Linked DNA regions of Coturnix japonica. The protein of the gene in region 2 binds, or shares a complex with, the protein of the main gene of each other region. Links are inferred from orthologs where the notes say so. Each region holds a gene or a part of one and is shown on either strand. Other genes may lie near its edges.

Region 1 (7,947 bases), on a different chromosome or scaffold from region 2:
AAGCAGCGCCGCTCCCAGGGCAGCATGGCCTGAAAGGAAACAGACACAGGGATGTGCTGGATGCTCCTCTTGGTGTTTGACCCCCCCCCCCATCAATGTGCCCCCCCCTCAATGTCCTGCCCGCACCCACCTGCTCATCCAGAGCCTCGGGAGTGGAGCAGCGCGTGTCCTCGCTGGGCAGGAGCCGCAGGGAATCGCGGGACAAGGGAGTGAGGGGAGCTGAGAGCAGTTCGGGGCTGATGGGGCTGCGCGGAGAGTGAGTGTGGGACAGCTCTGAGTGGGAAGGGCAGCCGCCCATGTCCGGGGATGCTGGCTGGGGGGTGGAGGGGGTCCCCAGCTGGGGGGTCGTCCGTCCGTCTGTCGATCTGTAGGACCTGAGGAATGGAAACAGCGCCAAGGTGAGCAGATAGAAGCTGCTATGGGAATAGAACAAACCATGGTGGGTCTGTGGGGTGAAAGACCACGGGATGCTCAGATCTGCCAACAGCATTTCAGGGAACCAAGGGGAGCTGAGCTGAGCAGCACAGCCTGGCCCCGGCCTGTACTTACAGCCCCATCCCTCCTCACTATGGACCCACAATGGGAACGGGCTGCTGGCCCAGGAGGGGTCACTGGGAGCTATTGGGACAGCTGGGGGAGCAACTTGTGGCCCAGAGGTGAAGGTGGGACCTCAATGCTGCGTGGGAAGGAGCTGGAGATGGCAGCACCTCTCCCCAGGATGCAGAGCTCTGCCACAGCCACCTCAAGGCAGGGAACATCCAGCCCTGGGGGCACTCACACCAACGTGAACTGCAGCACAACCACACAGAGCCACCCTGCTGCAAGCACAGCTGCACTGAGAAGGCTGCTGCACGGCTGCATGCAGCTGCAATGCAACCCCAGCTGCACTGACATGGCTGCATGCAGCTGCAGTCCACCAGCAAGAGCAGAGCAGTTCCAAACCAAAGCATCAGAAAGCAAATGGAAAAGAGAATCTCATCCTCCAGCTCTGTCAGGTGAGCAGAGCTGAGAGAAGACACTGCAGCAGTGCTGAGTGATGGTTGGAAGGGCAGGACAGGCGTGTAATGGAACAGAAGCAGAGCTGTGCTGCTGTACCTGCTGCCCCGCCGCTGCGGGGGCACACTCGTGCTCCAAAGCCACCGGGCTCGCTCCATCTCTTCACACTTGCTGTGCCGAGCAGCAAAGGCTGAATCAGACAAGTCCTCGATCTGTGGGAGAGATGGGATGGCACAGGGCTCAGTCTGGGGCTGTTCATGTTGGATGCACATCCGTGTGCAGTAACATCAATTGGTGATGGCCAGAGCACCCCAAGTGCCACCGAACCCAGCGTCACCCCATTGGGACACAGGGCAGCTCTCACCTCCTCGTTGTCTTCATCGGGGCTGACTTTCAGGGCGCCGATGTCCACCTCACGCCAGCTGCAAACAAACACAAGGTCAGGGTGCAGCCAGCCACAGCACAGCCCCATTGATTGAGGAAATCACAACAAGCAGCACCTGCAGGTGGGCGTTCAGTTCAGCTGCACATCTGTCCCCACAACCCCCCCATGGTGCCAGCAGAGCAGTTTCTCACTCCAGCCCCACGTGGAGCAGCTGCTTTCAGGCACTGAGACAACACAATCCCTATGTCTGTGTGAGGGCTCCCAGAGCTGCTCTCCCAGGGGAGGCAAAGCCCAACTCCTCCCCAGCAGCCCCCGGAGCAGAGTCCTGAGCTGAGCTGATGGGCACAGACCTGGGCGTCAGGATCTCCTTGTACTGCAGCTTCTCGACACGAGTTGTGGCAGCGACAGACATCGGGATGACAATGTTGTTAATATCAAATGAGCTTTCCCCTCTCCTCCTCCTCGGCTGCTGCAATGGAAAGATGAGAACAACATGAGGAAGGCTCGGAGGCTTTGCTATGGTGAGGCAATGAGAAAGGACCAACAGAGATCTGTGCTGGAACTGAGTTGTGCTGCCTGCTGCAAGGCCTCCCCATGGGAACAGCCATGAAAGGGGAGAGAAGAGCCACACAGAGCCCAGTTCCCTGCTGTGAAGTGGCAGTGGGACCATGAGCACTAAGAAGTGCAGGCATGGAGCACAGCTCCAATGGGATCAGCACAGGGCTGGGATCAGTAGCTCATCCTGGCTTGTGGCAGCTGCTCTACAACCTGATGGCTTCCACCTGCAGCTTCTTTCAGCCGGGTTTCCAAGCTAGAAATAAGCTGCACACTCAGCTTATCCACTTGGGTTGGATGCTGGGTGCTCTCTCTCTGTCCCCAAACCTCCCCTGAGCAGCACTGCAGCACAGCCATGGGATGCTCCAGGCTCTGAGCACTGCCATCCCAATGAGTGAAGCTGACAGTAAGAAGCTCCTGCAGGGCTTCTCCCCTTCTCGTGCTTTTATGTCCCAGAGCAGCCGTGTTCCTGCATTACAACCTGAGCTCAACCTGCACTAAGTGAAGGGATGCTGCTCAGCTTCCCCATTGCCATTTGTATGGGCTTTGGTAGAAGTGGCAGCACACGACAGGGACCATCATTTCTGAAGCAAAACCTGCTGGGCAACCAGAGGTAAAACTGCAAAAGCACAACAAGTCACAGTGCAGGAAGCTGCAGCTCCTGTCATGCACACACACCTCCCAGCTCAAAGCAGCTCCCCGAAGGAACAAGTGCAATGCTGCTGATTCTGCAGCAAAGTTGTGCACGTTGGGAGGTGCTGCACAACCACCAAAACCAGACCCAAACCTTGTCCTGCCCTGCACAACGCCCACACCTCAGGGCTGCTGGAGCAGCACAGGCGGCTTCTGGGGCTGGTTGAAGCCGGGTGCTGGAAACCAGCACCATGTTGTAACCCTGTTAATTGTGAATGGGCTCAGGGAAGGGTGGCAAAAGGAGCAGGAAGGAAGATCAAGTGCAGGGAAGCACGAACAGATTTCATCTTGACATGCTATGGCTGCTGAGGAGCGTCCTGGTCTCCAAAACACTCGGCTCATTCCAGGGAAGCTGCTGCTGCTGGTTGGAGTCTCAGCCTCCCCTGAGCATTACAACCCACCTCACTGACAACAGCTGATGACGCAACAGCAAACTGTTCTGGGAAAGAACCCGGCTGGAGGTGGCAGCCCCAGAGCTCAGAGCAAGGACAGAGGCACACAGTGAGCTCTGAGCCCCCAAAGCCTGGATCCCCAGCAGGGGCTGCACCACACAGAGACCAGGAGCTTTCCTAGGACACCTCAGAGCTGAACAGAGCGGGAGGGAGCTGGGTCCTGCTTGCTGATGGCTTCCAGAAACAGCTCCACAAAGGTTCCAAATGCTGTCATCTGTTCTGGGAGGCTGAGCATGTCTGGGCACACACTATGAGCCAACCCCAGTTATAACGACAGCTAAGTCCCATCCTCAGCCCAATTTACAGCCCAACACACAGAGAAAAGGCCAGAAAGGGGAAGAACCCAGAGCAGGAGCTGTTGTTGTGTCAGCAGCTTTGTGCTGCTGGTGCTCAGCTCTTCCACTCCGTTTCCTGGCATCCCCTGACATCTTCAGTAACCAGAATCCGGACATGGAGCAAAGCCAGTGGGCTACTGGGAACGGGAACATTCACCAGCACTTACTGAACTGACAGTGAACCTGTCACTGCAGCCGGCTCCGTGCACAGCCAGGAGCACAGCAGACCCAAAGCCAAAGCAGGAGGAGAGCCAACACAATCCCATCACCAGCGAGGTAAAGATGCTGGGAAGCTGAGAGCCGAGCTCAGCAGCTCCCCACACAGACAGCAATACTTACGGTGCCGGAGGTGCCCTGGGAGCTCGTGCTGGTGGGAGCAGAGCCCTCCGAGGAGGTGGACAGCTGCCGTGCTATGGGGCTGTGAGGTGCATGGGTCGCAGCCGCTGCCAAGTAGCTCGGGCCACCGACGTCCGCGTGATGCTTCAGCACTGCATGGGGAGGGAGGAGAAAACAAAGAGCCACGTTAGCACCAAATAAAATAAGGCTGGGGGGGTAGGAAGGAGAAAAGGACCATCTGTGCCAGAAATGGCCAATGCTGAGGTGAGCCCTGCAGGAAAGAGAAGCGATTTGTGACTGCAAACAGCTCGTCAGGGGCTGCAGGGAGCAGCAGTCGGGGCGCACGGTGCGGTGAGGAGGCCCAGAAGCAGTGCGATCCCTCTGCTCCAAGGGGAGACAGGCTGATGAGCAGCAAAGCCCAAGCTCCCCCCGAGCGCCCTGGCCTGGCAGCCTACCTTCACTCCTCTCAGATGAGCAGTCGCGTAATCGCTTTTTGTCATGGGCGGGAGGCTGGACAAGCGAGCGCTCAGGCGCTCTCTCGGCCTTGGACACGGCCATAAAATCGTCTAAGGGCGGCCTGTGCGCCTTGTCTGCCTGGGCTTTGTGCTGTGAGCGCTCTGAGGAGGGGAACAGAGAAAGAGCCATGAAACTCCTGTTTTCACCTCTCTTTCTGCGGGCATGGGATGCATCACTGCTGCGATGCTGCGGCTCAATGGCGTCATGCAGCGGGCAGAGCTCTGCATGGGCACGGCCTGGTGTTGGGCAAGGAGGGTCCCTACAGCCAGGAGCAGCTGCACACACGGCCCCTTCAGCCCCAAAGGCTCCGTTTGAATGCTATCCATCCTCCTCTCTCCTCCCGGACCGCACTGCTTTGGGGTTACCAACAGCAGGGGGGCACTTACTGGCTGCGGTGAAGAAGGAGTTCACCAGCTTGTGGCGGTCCTTGCGAGCGGGGTCGGTCAGGCTGCTGGTGGGCATGGGGGCTCTGTGCTTGAACGAGAGCTTTTTGGGAGCTTTCATTTTCTCGTAGGGTTTGTTCTGCCACTGGGATTTCAACATGCTCTGGAAGTGCAGGCTGGTCGGCACGTCTGCGGAGGGAAAGCAAATGCAGAGTTCACATTAAGTGTGTACCAGGAAGCAGCGGGTCCAGCATCACCTCCCAGTCCCCAGCAAGAACTGCCCCAACACACAGAGGGTCATCACTGCACAGCCACATTTGCCTGTGTATTCAAGGAGGAGCTGCTACGTGAGGATCCAGCATTCCCAACCTGAAGCTCTTTGAGAGCAGCACAGTAATACAGGATTCACACCCAGGTATATCCTGGCAGGAGAATAAAAGGCACGTGGCTCCATTCTGCTATCTGTGATCTGACTTCCAGGGCTCTGGGATATCTCAGCTCATCAAACCTACAGGAATACAGACTGGAAGAGAGAAGTTCAGCTTAACTCCTCCACTTCGGGTCAGGCCAGAAGCCAAACAGGTACGGTGTGAAGTTCATCTGCATGGCAGGGCATCTGCCATGGAACCAAGGGTGCTCCAAATGAGCACACTGCAGGGCCCATGGAAGCAGCAGCCCCCCAGGGTGCTCACAGCTGCACCCAGAGCACTCAGCCCGGCCTGTGCTGCCTTTTCAGACCACGCCGTGCACTGCAGTGGGGCACACGCTCCTCTTGTCCACACTCCTCAAGCTCCATTGCATCCCAGTCCCACACAGACGTGCTCTCCTGACCTCAGCTGAAGGCTGGAACACTAATGGGGTTATTCGGTGCCTTCCTTGTGCAGACAGGCCACGCTATGGGGTCGGCTCTAAAAACCATCAGCTGGACCAACAAACTCCCCCAGCAGCACCGTTCCTCCCCCAGATCTCACACCATGTTTTTGCAGGGACTCCAAAGCGACCCTGAGCTTAGAGGAACCTTCCCAGAGCCCACACGAGGAGCTGAGGTGCCCAGCAGCCCTGCAGAGGGGCCAGCACTGCAACTCGGAGCTGCTGCAGCATCTGGGAACTGCAGATGACCTCAGAGGGCAGCAGGAAGGGATGGCAGCCCTGCTGGCAGCCTTGGCAGCTGAGATGGGAATCCATCCCCAGTCATTCCAGAGGCTGGAAAGCCCCAGGACGGGCAAACAGGGCTGCAGGCTGCAGTCACTGTCAGGGGAACTTGATGCTGAGCAAGAAGCCAGAGCAGCCGTGTTTAGAAGACCCTGGTGCTAAAGCTCTCACTGAGCCCCATCCATGTGGGCAGCAAAGTGTGAGAGCAGTTGTTCAACCACTGACAGCCTGCACAGACTGATCCCAAAGGGGAGGGAGGGCTCAGAGAGGGCCCTGAGGGGAAAACAGCCTCCGCTCTTTGCTCATCTCCTGCCTCTTCCTGGAAATACATTCCACCGTCAGCAGCTGACACATCTGGGGAAGGATGGGCCAGGCTGAAAGGAGGCAGAAACACAAAGACAAAAGGCAAACAAACTGTGCTGCCCTTGTGATGGTCACAGCCACGGTGCAGAGCATCCAAGGACCGGCAGATGGCAACCGCGCCGAGCTCAGCACGGCTCACATCCTTCCACCAAGGTTATTACATCATCCCCAAACTCCCAGCTACAAATCACACCGAGCAGAAAAAGGAGAAGAGAGAAGGGACAGAGAACTTCAGAAGATGTTAAAGCTCCGCCGTGCACTCCACGCTGCTGCACCAAGTCTGTGCAGAGCTGGATTTACATCTGTGAGCACAAGGCTTTGACCCGACCCAAGCACGAGCAGCAGAACATCACCTTCCCCCCAGGAGCCATCCCCTTCCACTGGGAGACCTCTGCCCTGGCCTGCTGACAGCTCAGCTCTCCTGCAAGAGTGCCCACTCAGATCATCTGCACCTCGCTGTGGTCAGAGGGAAACGATGATGGGTGGAGAGCAGTACATGCAGCCAATAGGTTTTAGTCAGAGCAGCAGCAGCCTAATGGGAACGTCCCTTCCTCCTGTACCCTCTGACCCACTCGAGATCGTGGACAACTCCATACAAGGTCAAAGAAACATCCTGCAGCTTCCACCAATCCACAAGTGGTTTCATGCAGGTAAATAAGCTCTGCTGAGGTCTGTGACCACCAGTCACCATGCTCTGATGTTTGGATGGTGATGGAGTTGGATGCAAGGATCCTTATGGTCCCGTCCAACTCAGATTATGCTATTTATGACACCAGCACAGGACCCAGCACAGACTCTCAGGCCCCAGCCAACACTCTCTCTTCTGCTGCAGCAAATGCTCAGCTCCTAAAAGCACGTGCAGATGAAGAGCATGGTTTTAATTGCATCCATCACACCAGCACCTCCTCAGGGTGAAGGCTGCACAGCTCCTCAAGCCCCAGACACTCCCTGGTGTCCCATGTCAGCACCCAGCCCGACCCCCCAACCCCCTCCCCACAGCCCTGCTTTGCTGTGCTCACCATCAGGGAAGGACAGAACGGGATGGATGCAGGAGTCCAGCTGCGAGAGGCGCTCCAGCAGCGGCGCATCGTACTGCATCTCCAGCGCCGCGGAGCTGCGGGCACCACACAGAGCACACGAGGGGTTCACATCACAGCTGCACCGTGCCAGGCTGTTCCGGTGGACCTGGAGAAGGCCACAGAGAAGTTCAGCATCCCACAGGGCTCTCTTTGCATGCTGCCCTTTGATAGATCATCAAATAAACCCTGATCTTATAACACCCTGCAGCAAACCTGTTGATTCAGTCTGGACCTTACATCAACACAGCCGAGAACGACTGCTTGCCTGCACACAGCATCCCCTAGACTTGATTAAAAGTGTTTATCTGGGTTGAAAACCTCATTTACAAAACCATGAGACAGCACAATTCTGTTGTCAGGGAGGAAAAACACCTTCTAGTTCAGACAAGACAGGGAACCACCAGCCAAGAGCTGACACCTACAGCGAGTGAGAAGGTTTTCAGTCTTGGTCTCTAAACCAGGAGGGACTTTCAGTTCACAGACTTTATATAAACCTCCTCTGTATAAAAAACCATCGTGGTGCAGATGCACAACTGGATGTAAAACAGGCAGAGCCAGCAACCGATGAACCCCCCACTGAAATGGAAGGATCCATCGAATCAGATCCTGTGAAGTCTGTTGAGTCTGGTATTATTCAGATAATTTCCACTAATGACTCGAATGATGGAAGAGATAATATCCTTAAGCCTTAGCAAATAACAG
Region 2 (7,947 bases):
CAAATATATCCGCCCAGGCTTCCCACCCTGCAAGCTTATCTAGAGGATGCAGAAGGCATCTCTGCCCTACAACACTATAGAACTTTCAGCTAAGAAGGAAAAGAAGAAAGGCCTCAATTTGTCACTTCCCCCAGAGAGAAAACCAGCAAGAGAAATTTCATGCTGACTGACAGAAACACAGAAGCACAGCTGCTTTCAGTGTTATGGGGCTATGCAGGAGCACAAGCCTTTGTACCCCCCTCATCCAAAGGTATCTTTGAAAGAACCCCATTAAAGGGTTACTAATGCTTTTTTTGCTGAAAACTCACTAAATGTAAAGCAAGGTTAATAAACACATATAAAGCCCAGATTCTCCAAGATATTAAGTCTACAAAGCAAGACAAGATTGTTTTTACCTTTCCTTTGCTGTAGTCCCAAAGCTTAAGAGTGCTAGAAAAGAACAGAAAACCAAAGATTGAGTTCTTGTGTTTTATCAGCAGTTTCCTAGTAGCAGACAGTTTCTCCATACCCGAGTTCTTAAAGTCTACAAGGGGCACTTTAGCCCAGCTTTGGAATGCAGCTTTAGTTAAACCCCAAAGTATCAGTTGTTACCAACATGCCATTCGTAATTTCCCCCTTTATGGAGGCTGCATTCTTTCACAGGAAGAGAAACCCATCTGGAAATAGGGACAGCCCTACAATTATACCCATCCAATACAATCATTACCCCCAGCTCTTAACTTTTATGTCTTGCACTGGGATCCATCAGGCAAGTAAACAAAGGATTGAAACCCTCTGAAGACAGCTCAAACATAAGCTAGATCATAGAAAGAGAATAAGCAAGCTACTGAATTTTATTTGGATATAATATGGCAGTATGTATGCACCTGTGTAGGGTCATTATCATGACAGGCAACGAGCAGCAAACTAAAGTTTCATCTGATATTTATTAACACTTCAAAGATGGTGGGTTTCTATTTATTTTATAATACCTACTTGTCCAAAGTTGCAGCAAGAATGTATTTGCCATTCGGGGAGAACTTCACAAAAGACACGGGAGGGTTATCATCATCTGAAATGAAGATAAAGTGATTGTTAAATAGTTCCTATTAAAGTGATTGTTGAACAGTATTATTGTCTCATTGCCCAAGAATTTCTTTTGACAGTAATCTGTTGTTTAAAGCTTTCAGTTTTGTTATCCTTTGGTTATTCAAGCAATACAGGTGTGAGAAGGTGACTGTTTCCAGTATTTCAATAAAAGGATATTAAACATTTTGCTCACAGGCATTTTAAATGACCTTTTCATTCCTTCCATCTAAAACATATCTGTAATAAAGTGTTTTTTTAAACACAGAGTATACATCTATCACCAATCTGCAGTGCCATGTCAGCTTTATAAAGCACTTATAAAAAACTTCATAAGAATATGAAAGACTGGGAACATATGCCTTATAGGTGGTTTCCTTATATTAGCTTTGCTCACAAGATGCCTTATGTCATCAGCAATAAAAGCAGGCAGCTTGTTCAGTCACAGACTGTTTCCATCATATCCAGCAGCACAAACACTTTTGTTGTTACAGTTCTGAGCCGCTGCACAGCAATCATTACAGAACTGAATGATAGAAAACTTTGGAAGTCTTTCATCCAGCATCTAGACTTACAGAACACTCCAAGGTTAAGCAAGATCCCATATATGCAAGAGGATAGCTCCTATTAACTGTCATAGCTACAAAGACAACAGTGTGCTAATGGAACAGCATTGAAACAGAAAAATAGAGGTTAAGGAAGTCAATGCTCACTGTGATGATGCAGTATGTCTGTATCACAGCTGGACAACAAAGAATGAAGCACAAACAAGAAGCATTCCTACTTACCAATGAGTGTTTTCAAGCACTGTCCTGATGCTGTATCCCAGATTCGACTATAAAAAACATATGGGACTCATTACTACCACTATAAGCTTTATTATTAGTATCATTAATCTTTCGTCAAAGTGCAATAGATTTGAACACTGAAGCAGACAAGAAACAACCACTTACCAGAGTCCATCATAACTACTTGACACTATCAGGGATCCATCACGATTAAAATGCACCTGTAATATTATAAAAGAGGGGGAAAATAACTTTACTTTGTTCACAAGCATCAAATTTTTACGCCCCACCAAGAGTATTCACCTCCCGATGCTGACATTGCAGTTCATATGGATAAAAGCAGAAAGTCAATGATATTCAAACAGTAGATGTGAATTTAGATGGGCAATAGGATCAGAACAAAATTCTTCCCCCCTGCACTGAGTTCACCTGGCATAAATGGAAATGGCTGGTAGCTACAGCTGTACATTCAAGCATCAGGAACTGACATGTCTGTTTCCTCAGAAGCTAAGAGCAGTACCTTAACACGAACACACAGATACTCCGCTCAGACACCATTAGCTGCTCAGTTTATAGTAGTGTCTAACCTGGGGATAACACCTTAAGATTTTAAGGACATGGAACTTCACCCCATATATAGCCTCACATATTCTGAGGTCTACTTATTGCCTTCAAATACACCTGAAAATGCTGCAATTTAAAGCAATAATTACTACTAATGTGCATTATAAGTATGAAACGTCTCCTAGGTAAAATAGAACAACCAGACCAATCACATTAAAGCAGGTATCGTTTAACACAACTGAGGCTGAATATTCTTTCAGTGTTTCCTCCATTTCAAAAATATTAAGAGTTGAACACCTTCTAATCCTTCATTTGAAGGGATATGATTGCAATCCAAGCCATTTTCACAAGATGAATTAACAAGACTGGAGTGTGCTCTGAAACCATCCAGCTCCAGACCTCAGCAATTGCTTGGAACAAGAAAGCAACAGATGTACAGCAGGTCCAGGTTGCTCTCCATTCCTCAAAGGGATCATCAGTCCATATCCCAGCATCAGACTGCCAGGCTCTAACACAACCAGCACATCACTATTCACTGCTCCCCATGCAGAGACTCAAGACACAAAACCACACAGGCCTTACGGATAAGGATCTTAATTTTGCTCTCACCCAGCAATGACCATCCACAAACGACAGCCCATTTTATAAAGGTATCATAATAAAGAGCATAAGCACGTTAGCACGTTAATTTATCAGAAAGGACTTACAGCTGAAACTGGGTCAGAATGAGCAGGCAACGTCTTGAGGCACTTCCCTGTTTTCACATCCCATATCCTCACGCTTTCGTCGAACTGAAGAAACACAGAACATCATTTTATGATACAGTTATTTGTAACCTGGAAGACATTACAGCTTGGTGCAAGTCTAGACACACACGCCTTCCTCCAGTTGTACTGCAGCTGCATCAGAAAGGCTAAGATATAAGCACTGCACAGGGTGGCAATAACAGACTGCAAATACAGTTCTCTCTTTCTCTACACACAAAGAAAACTGCATGTTAAGGATGGGTTAAAGGCCCGACTGCATCCCCAAGACAGCAATAACACTGCATAGCTCACCTAATTACAAGCTGCATTTATGGAGGAAGACATCATTGAAATAAGGGATGTGCAGCAATTGCTTTGCACAGAAGAACAAAAATCACTTACTGATCCAGAAACGATGAGGTTTGATTGAGGGTTGAAGTTGCAGCAGAAAACGTAGTTACTGTGCCCCTTCAATGTCTTCAAGCACTTACCCTGAAATAAGATTTAGCAGATTTAAATATGCATGTATGGCTATAGAGGATACTGCAATCAGACAAGCTGCATAGTGCAGAATGGAAAGAAACCATCTCTAACCATAGACTTAGATAGGCAGAGGAACAGCTGAAGAAAAACAAAGGGAAGACTTTTTCAGGGACCAGTTTTCAAAGCCTTTGGGCAATCAGGGAAAACCCAACAGTTTAACACATCTCGTCAAATTTAAACCAATTTATCCAGTTTTCACTGTAACTGCAGAAAAAAGAAGGCAGAAAAATAAGCAAAGAGAAATGAGCCTATGATGAGAAGTTATAAATACTCTTAGGTTCCATCTGAGAGGCTGCTTACAGAAATTAAACTTGAGCCTGTATTGTTAGTGTAAGACTGAAACACTCCCAGAAGATAATCAGAGTCCTCGTGGTACCCATAAGCACTGCCCTCTTTCCAAAAGAATGCAGCACAACTCTCCCATCCTCACTGCCCATTCAGCCAGCTGCTCGTTTTAAGCAGCAAACTGGGAGCTACTACCTAAAGAGGATCAGTGTTTATAACTCTGTCTTCTCCAATCATAGCATGTCAAGCTCGTCTCGCAGAAGAACTTGATTTAAGGTAGCAATTCTAAGGAAAAGGAAGGCAAATAACAATTTCTGTTCTTACCGAGCTTACATCCCATATCTTGAGAGTTTTATCATCGGAGGCAGAGACAAGAAGGTTGGAATCTGATGACCAAGCAACATCAGAGATCCCCTAAAACAAAAGAAACCAATCCTCTTAGCTCCGTTTACTTACTGACATGGGAAAATGGGAAACAGACTCCATGTTCACAGCTGAAGTGTGAAAGATTCAGCACTGGGAGATGCAAATTAATTAACGTGACCGGGTTACAGCTCCTTTGACAGTTCTTCATTTTAAGTTGGGCCGTGCACTCCAAAAACACCAGCAGCTTCCTCACATAGCTCTTACTGTGGCCACCAACACCCTTTCATTGAATCCACAAACAGTATATTACATAAACTAATCGGAATGAGTGGTTTCTCATCATGACAAATGGCTCACTGCTTCTGGCCTGAGCTCCCGAGGGTTGGAGGAGAACAGGACTCTACTGGTTTTTCATCTGGTGAATCTTCAACTTTGCTTCTGAAACTTCAGCACGTAGCAAACTTTGGGAAACAAAACGGAAGAGTTTGGGGATTTGTGTTTTCTCTACAGCTTTGGAGAATGAGTAAGTGCTGTGTTTACACAGACAAAGCCACAAGGAAAATTCAATCTCCTTACAAGGCAAGCCATTCTGCTCCAGATACAAGGCAAAGACAGAAGAGGGCACGGCGTTCACAAGGACTTTCACCCTATAATATATTGCCCCTTGTATGAAGCTGGTGTTGAAGCTGAAATGGAGGGGCTCGAGAAAAAGGCCAGTGTGCATGCGGGTACTTCACTACCAGCCTGCACCGCACCCACATTTCCAGCTTGACCTGATGTCACCTCAGTAATTCCACCCCCAGACAACTGCACAGGACTGTATAAACAAGGAGATACAAATACAGCCTTCTGCAGCAAAGGAACCACGAATGGAAATGACTAGATGAGGAAAAAGAAGGGAGAATAAATTCATTACAAGAAAAGACTCATACGCAGTGAGTCCTTATACTTACCAGTTTATGGCCAGATATCGTTTTTTCAAACTTGCCATCATATGCTCCCCAAATTTTAATAAGTTTGTCAGCAGCTGGAAAAGAATGTGCCAGTTTAAGAGACATGCAGCACTGACAGACACAGCTGGAGGACAGGGATATGTTAACCATGCCCCTACTAAAGGTGGGTAGTCCTCCCTCTCTATGCACACACAAGCGTATAAGGCTGTATGTAACTGGTAAAGAATGGTTTCATACACACCACACTCACTGCTGCAACTGAGATTACATAAGCTGCCTGGAATGCAGTCTCCAGTCGCTTTAGTTTCTCTGATGACAACTTGAGCTTCTACTTTTGTTTAAGCCTGCCAGTGGTAGACGCAGTACTGTTCCATGTGGAATGCTGAAACTCTTTTGCCCAGAAAGAGCAAAAATTACATCACTACCTGGAATGAATTAATGCCTGCATAAACCCAAACATGCTGTCCATTTTAACTTGCAAAACGGGCCAGAGAAAGAGGTTGATATTTGCCAGAGGCTGGAAAACCTTAGGATGGGGGAAAAGGTCTTTCATAAGGATAACAGAACATAAAAGTGATTTACACATGGTATACTGGCCTTATAAAGGCAATGTGAAGTTAAGCCAAAGACCGAAGTAATTCCCATGTCTGGAAGATGTTTGACTGGCTCCCACCATCACATTCAATATTGTTCTTTAATTGCTCTTTCTTCATATACAGTACCTCACTGAGGTTAGTATAAGGACATTTACTAAGGAAAGCTACCAAGCAGTTTTCTTGGTGACAAACACCAAAGCTGTCAGGGGAGAACTCAACCTGCCAACTAAGAGGGAGCAGCGAAACACTATGATCTGCATATTTCATTGGGATAATCTAAGGCTCTGACTTGCTAAGAACCACAGGCACAGAGAACAGAAGCACACAGGCAGTCCTTCACATCACAATGCAATCCAGCCCAGCAGTGCCAAGTTAACTCTGACATTTCCCAGAGCTGAGTTTTACCTGCAGGTACCGCACCCAGAATTTAAAAGCTTAAGCTTCATCTTTAGTGCCACAGAAAAGCACAAGGATGGGGCAAGAATCCCGTTTGCTTTTGTCCCCTTGCACAGTAAGAAAACTAAACAGGAAAGGACTCTGAGTTAGCAAAACACTGAAAGATCTTGGATTATCCCAAAGTCTGCCAGTTTGGGCATTGTTCCTTTTAAGAACAGTAAGGACACTTATCCCTTCTCCATCCAGTCAGTTAAGACAAGTAGTTCTACAAGGCCCGTATTTGCATTCTGTTGATGTAAGAAAGCAATACTTACAGGAGCTGGCTAACCACTCTCCATTAGGACTAAACTTTACAGATGATACCGCCTTCGTATGTCCCGCTAACGTGAACTTTAGAGCATAATTTGGTTTCACTGGTGCAGGCTGGAAGAAAAATACATATGAATGAGTTGAATAAATTCCCAATTTAGTTTCTCAGTGACAAGCTCAGTATCAGACGAGATCAGCACACATGAATACATACATTCACCTGAACAGATTCTACCATTTACATTCTCTCCCCCCACCAAATTCAACAAGCCCCCACTGGAGCCAGAAGCACATTACAGCCACGTGCCACCAAACTCATCCTGATCTGAATTCCCTTCAAGCCTGCAACTAACAGATGACAGTAACACAACAGTTCGAGCACAGAGTGTTTTGAGATTAAAATAAAACCTCTGGTGATGGTTTTATACTCTGTGTATAGTACTATGAAATGCCTGTAGTTCTATTCCTTGCTCAGAAGCAACCACAAGCCAACTCCCCCAGGCCCCTTAAAACTCTATTTCAACCAAATAATCAACCTAGCACTAAGCTGTACTCAGCCTGCTTTTCCCCTACAACCTTCAGCACACTTCCCTCTCCATACAACAGCAGAGGCAGACGTATTAAGAAGTTCTTAATGCATACTTGATTCAGTTCTCTAATTGCTGTTTGCCTGGTGCACGTGCAGGTATGCACCATGTGCATTTACGCAGGCATTGTTCAGAGCTCCCCACACACACCTTGCTCTGATTGGTTGAGGAGGAAGGAGTCGATTGTGTTTTGGTGGATTCTGCATCTGGTTTCTTTTCTTCTGTTGCCATGGTTCTGAAGCCGGCAAATGAGACCTACGGTGCTTGAAGGGGGAGAATGAACGTGCTGCTTCACAAGGCAGCCCTTGCCACGGGGAGAGGAACAGCGCTGCTAGAAACAAAACCCTGGAAGAAAAAGCAAACAATCACATTAACCATCAAAGAAGGATCAGAGGCAGCTAAAGGAACAAGATCAGCTTAACTGCAGGTCTGCAGAAAACATGATGAGGAAACATATTGTACGCCTGCTCAGCAACATGCCATTTTATGCCTACAGGTCTATTAGTGGTCTATCAAGAACCCAAATACAAGACTTTGATCAGCTCCTGCACAGCGTTTTTTGCTGTGTTTTGTACCAATCACTACAAATAAAGCAGAGTAGCTCTTAGAGGCAGTGGGTTTATCTTATATTCCTTGAAACATCTGTACAACACAGCAAATACAACACCTTATATATAAGGCATTTCCAAAGCTTAAAACCACACCAGGTTTGTTTTATTTTTCCATTTCCTATTTCAAGTACTTTGGTC

Evidence for each region. The genes of interacting proteins can lie anywhere in the genome.
Region 1: WDR5 (region 2) and KANSL1 share a complex: the UniProt entries of both Homo sapiens proteins name them as parts of the NSL complex. The link is inferred for Coturnix japonica from reciprocal best matches to the Homo sapiens genes WDR5 and KANSL1.

Annotation. Positions count from the first base shown.
Region 1 is NC_029542.1:2,358,838-2,366,784, reverse strand, and holds part of KANSL1 (KAT8 regulatory NSL complex subunit 1), read right to left. Parts: intron 7,352-7,947; coding exon 7,186-7,351; intron 4,841-7,185; coding exon 4,655-4,840; intron 4,370-4,654; coding exon 4,208-4,369; intron 3,905-4,207; coding exon 3,756-3,904; intron 1,851-3,755; coding exon 1,732-1,850; intron 1,419-1,731; coding exon 1,361-1,418; intron 1,209-1,360; coding exon 1,096-1,208; intron 375-1,095; coding exon 131-374; intron 30-130; coding exon 1-29. UniProt on the Homo sapiens protein: Non-catalytic component of the NSL histone acetyltransferase complex, a multiprotein complex that mediates histone H4 acetylation at 'Lys-5'- and 'Lys-8' (H4K5ac and H4K8ac) at transcription start sites and promotes transcription initiation.
Region 2 is NC_029532.1:5,720,602-5,728,548, reverse strand, and holds part of WDR5 (WD repeat-containing protein 5), read right to left. Parts: intron 7,544-7,947; 5' UTR 7,430-7,543; coding exon 7,349-7,429; intron 6,726-7,348; coding exon 6,617-6,725; intron 5,385-6,616; coding exon 5,311-5,384; intron 4,406-5,310; coding exon 4,316-4,405; intron 3,656-4,315; coding exon 3,566-3,655; intron 3,209-3,565; coding exon 3,125-3,208; intron 2,075-3,124; coding exon 2,019-2,074; intron 1,901-2,018; coding exon 1,854-1,900; intron 1,052-1,853; coding exon 976-1,051; intron 430-975; coding exon 396-429; intron 1-395.